2 linked regions of the Canis lupus familiaris genome follow. The protein of the gene in region 1 interacts with the protein of each later gene in a biochemical or structural test. Links are inferred from orthologs where the notes say so. Each region holds a gene or a part of one and is shown on either strand. Other genes may lie near its edges.

The links.
Region 2: the proteins of WASL (region 1) and PFN1 form a complex in vitro, tested with the Homo sapiens proteins (2 studies listed by BioGRID). The link is inferred for Canis lupus familiaris from reciprocal best matches to the Homo sapiens genes WASL and PFN1.

The regions. Positions count from the first base shown.
Region 1 is NC_049235.1:11,772,798-11,777,133, reverse strand, and holds the start of WASL (neural Wiskott-Aldrich syndrome protein), read right to left. Parts: upstream 3,056-4,336; 5' UTR 2,671-3,055; coding exon 2,554-2,670; intron 1-2,553. UniProt on the Homo sapiens protein: Regulates actin polymerization by stimulating the actin-nucleating activity of the Arp2/3 complex. Involved in various processes, such as mitosis and cytokinesis, via its role in the regulation of actin polymerization.
Region 2 is NC_049226.1:31,873,945-31,878,411, forward strand, and holds PFN1 (profilin-1), read left to right. Parts: upstream 1-1,439; 5' UTR 1,440-1,591; coding exon 1,592-1,723; intron 1,724-3,002; coding exon 3,003-3,195; intron 3,196-3,746; coding exon 3,747-3,844; 3' UTR 3,845-4,100; downstream 4,101-4,467. UniProt on the Homo sapiens protein: Binds to actin and affects the structure of the cytoskeleton. At high concentrations, profilin prevents the polymerization of actin, whereas it enhances it at low concentrations. By binding to PIP2, it inhibits the formation of IP3 and DG.

The sequences.
Region 1 (4,336 bases):
AACTCTGGCAGGCTGACTACAAAGCCAAGATGTTTTACATTGTGACGTGCAGCCTCTTACACATTACTCTGAAGCACTTACTCATCAGTTTACATATTTGTTTCCCTTTTTAGACCTAGTAAGTTCCTTGAGGGTAGGCATCAACCCTGATTTTGACCTCAACATTTAGTTACTCAATATTGTTGAGTCAAAGAAGGAATGCAGCTCCTCCAGAACTGGGACTGCAACTATTTGTTTCATTTCTTGAACTCTTAGGGCTCTGAATATACTTCTGTCCTAACAAATTCCGGTCGACTTGTAAATGTTATTGCTGATGTTTTTAATGAGATAATGTATTTCACTATAATTTTAAACTACAAAAAGCGGCATAGTCAGCAAAGAAAAAAAGGATTTTTCAAAACAAAATAGTCTTTACTCTCAAGTAACTGGAGACTTCAAATATTAATCTTCACAACAATTTCATACCACAAGAGTGTATGAAATGCCAAATTCAAAAGGTAAAGGTGATTAATAATAGATGACATAAAGATACTGAGCACTGAATACTGATGGCTTATTCAGCAATCCACTTATGCTAACCAGAAAGCAAGGCTATCTTTCTCAATCACAGTATTCTCTCACATCTTTCATTTTTCTGAAACCAGTAAACATTACAGGTAAGCATAGAGCAATTAGTCAGTGTACTAGTGTTTGAATATAATGTCCTTCCTGCCTAAGCTTAATGTGTCTGGTATGTAAAACGTAAAACAACTATTTCCTTTCTGATACAGATCATATAGCAAATGAAACTAAAACAAAAAAATTTTAATTTTTTTTTCATTTGCAGATATTGTAACAGTTTAAAGAGCTGGAGATTTTCCTAAATCGAAAATATACAAAAATTAGTGCTGCTTTAAGAATCTCACACACTAATTATACCAAGTTTTGGTGGGGAAAAAAAAAAAAAAAAAGAACTGATTATTCCTTTTGCACCATTTTTTGAAATAAATCAATAACAAGTAAGAAAAAAAACCCTTCTAAAACAACATGATGTAGTGGAAACTACAGCAGACTAGGCATCCAAAGTCCTGGCTTTCTAGTTCTGGTTACCTACTAAACTGCTGTGTGACTTGGGGTTCACTGGCTCAGTTTTCTCATTTGTTCAAAAGCGAGGGAGGGAGGGGACACGGACACACACGACAGTTGTCTTTAAAACTGTTGCCCAAAATTTTGATTTTAAGCCAGTCCTCTTATTTCATTCTTCTAATCAGTAAAATACCAGGCCCGTCTGAATTGAAGGTAATGATTCAATCTCCAAGAGGATACAAAAAGGCTGACTCCTATAAAGTTAACAATTAACCCATAGAGTAACTTTCCAGAAATTGTCTATCCTAACTTCTTAAACAGATAGATGTAGCCTCGTTTGACATATTTAACACTACCAACAGAAGCTGTAAAATGGTACTGCTCTGTTGACATTTCAGTAGGGGTTTCCTGGTTTCCAGTGGCACATACTATGCAGGTGCTAAGACGCAAAGAGGGGAGACAGGGACCCAAACAGCATTTCAGCAAACTCGACTACAGTTCAACGGAGCCACAGCAGTAAGATGCAGCCAGACGAGGCCTACACCACAGAGCAGAACCTCCCCACCCCCAGAAGTGCCAGCAGCCAATGTAATGAATGCTTCCGTCAACAACACACATTCCCCTTCCCACAGCAGAACTGCTTGCTCCCAACCGGCCATCTGGGGTTGGAACAGGCCGCACAGCACCAACCTAAGAATCACTCTCAGGCCCCAAAAGGCCACGAACTACTAGAGACTGTGGTTCTCCTGCGCATGGTCGTGGGGAGAGCAGCACCTCCTCCCACCAATGAAGGGTTAAAAAAAAAAAAAAAAAAAAATCAGTGGAGAGGAGAGCAGAAACCAGGCCTGGTGAGGCTGCTGGAGGAAAAAAAAAAAAAAAAAAAAACGCTGTTTCTCTGCAATGGGGGGCAGCAACATTCCCTGCCCTCATTCTGAACCGATGCAATCGACTTCATTTTCTCCTGGGAGCCTAAACGGGGATCAAAAACCCCCATTCTGGCCCGCTTCATTCATATCCGGGCTTCATTCCCCGATCTACCCACTTCTGAAACCTCTGCCATTGTGAAAGAAGGTAGCCTCCTCCCCACCCCCAGATCAAGCGGCAGGAGGTGAAACAAGGGCCAGTACGGACGCCCGGTTTTTAAGATCCAGCAGCTCGTGCAGGAATAAAATCTCCTCTTGGCCTGAGAGCAAAGTTTGAGCCAGCAGCAAGGGCGCAGACCTGGGCCCGGCCAGGAGGGGTTCCAGGGCGGGCCTGCGGAGGTGACACTTCCCTGCTCACGGTCAGCTTCGGGAGGCGGGGGGCGGCGGCGGCGGCGGCGCCGGCCCGCACCGCCCGCACCCGCCGCGCCGGGCTGGCTGGAGGCCTGGCGGCGGCCGGACCCTCCCCGCGCCGCTCCCGCCTTCGTCCCCGCTCCCGCTTCCCGGCCCTCGTGCCCGGGCCCGTGAGGTATCGTCGGGGATGGCGACGCGGGTCTCGGCCACTGACCACACATTTCTTGCCGAGGAAGGTGAAGAGGGACTCATTCTCCTGCGGGGTGAGCAGCAAGGACCCCACGTTGGTGACCCTCCGCGGCGGCGGCGGCTGCTGCTGGCCCGAGCTCATGGTTTCGCCGGCGGGGCTGAGCGTCCGGGGCCGTCTCCGGCGAGCAGGCGAGCGCTCTCTCCCCTCTCGGTGACAGGGGTGGGAGGAGGGGAATCAGAGGCGCAGCATCTCGCAGCTCCTCGGGCGCGGGGAGGAGGAGGAGGAGGAGGCCGCGGGAAGGAGGAGCCAACGACGGGCCGCGCAAAGAAAGGGAAGCTCCCGGCTCCCGCCCGGCGAGTCCCAGGCCGGATGGTCGTTGACCTCGTACTCCAGCGACTGCGCTAAACTCCCAACTCCTCCTCCAACCCTCCTGCGGCGGCGGCGGCGGCGGCAGCGGCGGTGGTGGCGGCAGCACAATCCAACATGGCTGCGGGGGCGGACGAGACCACAGGACGCAGGACGCGGGGGAGCGCGCCGGAAACGCGCGGCTGCGGGCCGGGCCCGGGAGAAGCGCCCCCCCCCCCCACGCCGCGGCCGGCCCACCGCGCCGGCCCAGGCCCCGCCCACTTCCGGCCGGGGCGCGGGCTGCGAGGCGCGGGCGCGGGCGCGTGGGCGGGGGCGGGGATCGCGCGTGCGGGCCCCTGCTCCCGTGCTGGTTTCTGCGGGGCTTGGGCCGGGCGGCCGCCGTCTGCCAAAAACAGAAGTGGCCCGCGCGAGTTCTGCGGACGCACACCTTGGCGAAGCGTTTGTGCGGCCCCAGGTCCCCCTTCCCCGGAATGGCTCTTATTTGGGGGGCGCAGAAGCCGGACGTTCTTACTGCAGGTCAAAAGGATCTGGAGACGAAGACGGGAAAGTGACGCGCTCCCCTGTGCTCCTGGGTCGGAGCTGCAGGTGCCGGGGGTTTCTCAAACTTTGTGCAAACTTCAGCAGTGGGTGTAGAGGAACACACAGGCCTCTCTCCCGGAGTTGTGAAAGAGCTTGCTGATGGATGTTAACAAAAACCAAACGCACTTAGAATTTTCTACCGCTCGCCTGGAGTGTTGCGTGGGATGAGTGTATTGAGAACATTTAAATTCAGGCTCTTTTCTCTGAAGTGCCCTGAACACGTTTTTCCCCATCTTGAAAATTGGAAAATATTCTCCCCCCCCCCACCTTCTCATCTTTCTATTCCTATTTAATAAAGGTGTAGTATAGAGATAACTAAACCTACTTCTAAGTAGTAAAATTTACCCGGAAAGCATACGTGAAATACCTGATGGACGGTGGTTACTCAAACATTACTTGCTCTATAGTCCTTATCTTCCCTTTGCCTATGGTTTGCTTCCCTTCCCTTAGCTAAGGATCAAAAGTGGAGTTGAAATGTGTATTTTTTATCTTTGTGCTATCTAAGCATGAAATTTCAAAAAACTGTAGCATTTAGAACTCTCTGTATTTCTTCAAATGTATAGTGGTAAATTGGGGGCATAATTTCTTAGCAGAATTTCTACTTAGGCTATATAGGATGCCGCATGGACGATATATGTACTATTATGTGAAAATTACAAAACTTAAAAACTATAAATCTAGAGACAATCATTTGTTCCTAATACTATCTTTATAATATTAAATACTATTTTATCATATTATGTTTTTTCTTTCTTTCTTTCTTTCTTTCTTTCTTTCTTTCTTTCTTTCTTTCTTTCTTTCTTTCTTTTCTTATGATTTTATTTATTTGTTCATAACAGACACAGAGAGAGAGAGGCAGAGA
Region 2 (4,467 bases), on another chromosome or scaffold:
GGGCTCAGAATGAATGGCGGGGCGGGACGGGACCGGACCGGAGGGGGTGGCCCCTGCGGTCTGAGCGTCGGGTCTGGGGGCGGCGCGGGGTGCGCCCCGGCCCGGGGAGCGTGGGCACCTCGGGGCTCCGGCCCTGACCCTCCACGCCCGCCGGCTCCGGCCGCGCCCTCCCGGACTTTTCCACCCCGGGGTCGGGGGTGCGGCGGGCAGAGGTCAGCAGCCAGCGGGCGGGGAGCGCCGCCACGTGCCCGAGCGCGCCCCGCCCGAGCGGCCGGGTGACTCAGCGGCGCGGCTGTCGAGGAACGGGCTCGGGGGGCGTGGGGGCCCGGAAGCGGCCCAGACCCTCGGCAGCCCCACCTGGGCGGCCGCGGGGCCCTGCCCTTCCCTCCCTTGCCCGCGGGGCGCCCGGCGAGAGCCGCGCGCAAAGCTTCCCAGCACAAGTTTCCCCGAAAAGAAGAAGAAAGAGCCCGAGGGGCCCGAGCGGGAGGGGACTTTCCCCCTCTTGGAAAAGTTGCAAATCTGGCCACCTCCCCGTGTCCTTCCGCCCCGAGAAGTAGTCCCGCCCCTGCCTCCCGCGCCCAGTGACCTCGGCCGCGCCGGGCCAAGGGGCACGGCCGGTGACCCAAAGTGCTGGCAGCGGGGGGCGGGGACGTGGGGCTTGGGCCTGCCTGGGGGGGGGGCTGCTCCTGCACGTGTCTGTCGGGCAGATACTGGAGACACTCGTGCCCCCCCTTCCCGGTGGACGCCTTGGACTCTTGAGGGCGGCCGGGCCCATCTGTCCTCGCGACCCGGGGCTCCCGCAAGTCGTGACTGAATAAAATAGAGAGCGAGCCGCGTGCCCGCCCCTTCCGCCCCGCGGGAGACACGTCCCCGGCCCGCCCGCCTCTGGGGGGTGGGGTGCCGCCGCGCGCACCCCGCTCCCGCGCCGCGGGCCGCCGGCCCCAACCGCCCCGCGCCCTCCCGCCCTCCTGCCCGGCCCGGCGCAGGCGCGGACGCACGCGCCGCCGCCGCCGCTCCTGCCCTCCGGCAGGGGTGGGGGAGGGGCAGCCGTTCCATTTAACCCTGAGCGCCCCGCACCCCCCGCCGGCCCCGCGCGCGGCTCGCCCGTCCGCCGGCTTTCGCATCCTTTCCTCCCTCGGGCTCGCTCCCTTCCCCGGCACCACAGTCCCGTTTGTATTCAAGGCGAAGCGGAGCGGGCCCTGACCCGAACTTCCCCCTGCCACCCGCACTCCCCCCAACCACCATCACCCCACCCTCCATCCTTTTACAGAGCTTTCCACCCAACTCTGCAAATTTTGCAATAGGGGGAGGGATTTTTAAAATCGTCTTTTGCAAAGTTCGGTATCTGGGCAGGCGAGGGGGGAGGGAGGAAAGGGAGCAGGCCCCGCCCCTGCCGCCCTTTGCAAATAAAAATCTAGGGGGGGGGGAGGAGCAGGAAGTGGCGGTGCGAGGGCTGCTGCACAGCGAGCAGAGCCGCGGTCCGGACGGCAGCGCGTGCCCCGAGCTCTCCGCCGCCCCCCGCCCGCCAGCCCGAGGCCCCGAGCCCAGTCCGTGGCCCCCGCAGCAGCCCCGCAGCAGCCCCGCAGCAGCCATGGCCGGCTGGAACGCCTACATCGACAACCTCATGGCGGACGGGACCTGTCAGGACGCGGCCATCGTGGGCTATAAGGACTCGCCCTCCGTGTGGGCCGCCGTCCCCGGGAAGACCTTCGTCAACATCACGGTAGTACGGGGCCCGCGCGCCCCCGGGGCACCGGCCGGCTCGGGGCGGGGCGGGGGCGGTCGGGGCAGGGCGGCCGAGGGCCGCGACCGGGTCCTCGCCCGGAGGCGGCGGACGGCGAGCGCACTTGAACAGGCCCCCCCGAGGTCCCCGGCCCTCGCTCCGGGCGGCGGCGGCGCCCATCCCTCCCGCCGCCCCGCTCTCCGCGCCGGGGCGTTACATCCGGGGCACAGGGCGGGGAGGGGCGCGCCGCCCGGTGCGGAGGCCCACTTCCGCCTGGTCCAGGGCGGGGCGGGCAGGCGCGGCGGGTTGCGCCGGGGCCGGGCACCAGGCGGGAGCGGGGACCCCGGCCCCGCCACCATTGTTCCTCTTCGGTCTCTTCTCCCCGCCCCTCCCCGCGGGAGGCCGCCCGGCCGCCCCGGCCCCCGCCCCGCCCGGCCCCGTTACGGAGGGCGAGGCCGCCCCACGCCCCCCCAAGTCGGCGCGCCGCGCTCCCTGAGCCCCGGCCCGGAAGTCCCCTTGCCCTCCCTTCCCGCCATCCGGCAGGGCCCGGCGCGGGGGAACTTCGGGAGAAGTTGCAGGGCCGCGCGACTTGTGGAAGGAGGGATGCCTGCCGCCGTCCCCATCACCACCTCCCCTGTCCGCGCTGCCCGGAAGTGGGGAGGGGGAGCGGAAGTGCGGGAGGGGGGGAAGGGGATTTCCGGGCGGGAGGGGACCGGATGTGGGGGTTTGGGGTGTTCGGGGGAGGGGAGAGGTTCCCTGGGGTCCGTGGACCCGGGTCTGGCCGGCCGCAGTCCCGCACCGCCGTGCCAACTTGGCCAACTTTCCCGGAGGGCCCCCGGGGTCGGCTCGCTGGTCTGGGGACCGCGCCCCTGCCCTGGACTCGGCGCCCGGAGACCCAGGCGTCCGGGCCCCTCGCGGCTCCTGCAGAACCTTTGACCAAATAAGGACAAAGTTGCCTCCTGCTCCGCCCGCCCCCTCCCTTCCCCTCCACGCTTCTGCTTTTCCTGGAGGAGCGTGGTGCGCGTCCATGGGCTACCCGGCTCTGCCATGCCACTGTCCGCTCCGGCTTCGCCCCCGCCCCGTTCCCTGGGTGTGTGTTCCCCGTGGGATGACACCAACCTGGGATATGGTCTCCCCGTGTCTCAGCAGTCTCTTAGGAGTTTGTCGGTTTCCACACGTGTGCACAAAGCAGACGGCATACACCCCATGTGGGGCGCGGTGCAGGGCAGGGGGAAACCGGGGGATCCTGACGCTGACGGCCGCTGCCTTCCCCTTGCAGCCAGCTGAGGTCGGTGTCCTGGTTGGCAAAGACCGGTCGAGTTTTTTCGTGAACGGGCTGACACTGGGAGGCCAGAAGTGTTCTGTGATCCGGGACTCGCTGCTGCAGGATGGGGAGTTTACTATGGACCTTCGTACCAAGAGCAGCGGTGGAGCGCCCACTTTCAACATCACTGTCACCATGACTGCCAAGAGTGAGTTTCTGTGACCCCTGACTGCCTCCCGGCCTCCGATGTCCCCTCATGAACCTGTTAGCCTCTGGGGTTTCCTTTGTGGCTCCCCAGTACTAGGAGATCACAGGCCGCTGGGTGCTTCCTCCACTCCTCAGTTCCTCATCTCCTAATAGAACTTGAACTGCATTACCTCTTCTGTTCCTTCCTGGCCTGAGCCTTCTAGGGGGCAGAAACCCTGATTTCTGGGAAAGGGTAGACTGATGGCCAAAAGACTGGGTGTCTTCTGAACTCTGTTAGGCCTTGGGGTAATAAGCCCCACTGTGCTTATTACTCCGAGCCTGAATCCCTGGTCCCTAAATTAGTTTCACCCGTTTCACCCTCTGGAGCCCTAAGCTTGATTCCCTCTCCTGAAAAGCCCCATTGTTTCAAAGTGACTGACAGCCTGCCTGTGTGTTGGGGGGGTTGGGAGAGAGGAGGTTGGGTTACAGCCCCCAGGGCTGGACAGCTGCTCAACAGCTGGCAGGGGGTGGGTTGTGACACCTGGGTCCTAGCCTCCATTCTCTTTCCTCCAGCGCTAGTCCTGCTGATGGGCAAAGAAGGTGTCCACGGTGGTATGATCAACAAGAAATGTTATGAAATGGCTTCCCACCTGCGGCGTTCCCAGTACTGACCTCGTCTGTCCCCGCCCCCTACCACTCCCCACTGCTTTTGCACCCCTCTCCTCCCCATACACACACGTACACCATTTTTATTTTTTGGGCCATTACCCCACACCCCTTATTGCTGCCAAAACCACATGGGCTGGGGGCTGGGGCTGGATGGACAGACACCTCCCCCTACCCAAACCCCTCCTGTGTGTGGTTGGAAAACTTTTTTGTTTTTTGGTTTTTTTTTTTTTTTTTTTTTCTGAATAAAAAAGATTCTACTAACAAGGTGCTGTGTGGTTTGGCCTGGGTGTCGGGGTGGACAGTTCCCATGACCTGTCACCTCTATCTTGGCTGCGGGTTAGGGAGTCAAGGGCACTCCAAAGTCTAGGCATTTGGGCTTCTTGAGTCCTGCCCAGGGGGTAAAGCAGCACCTGCCAGAGGCCCACCTGGTCAGGTGGCACAGCCCTAGGTCTTGGTAGATAATGGAAAAGAGCTGGACCAGAGAATGGGTCCAGGCCTGCGGGCAAGGCAGGACCAGTTGAGTCATCCCTGTGTGGGTGGGGCTCCCCCTCTCTGAGTCACAGTATATGCCTGCTAGGGCTGTCCCCATGGCTACAGGTTCTCTCCCAGAAATCCCCTGCCCCTT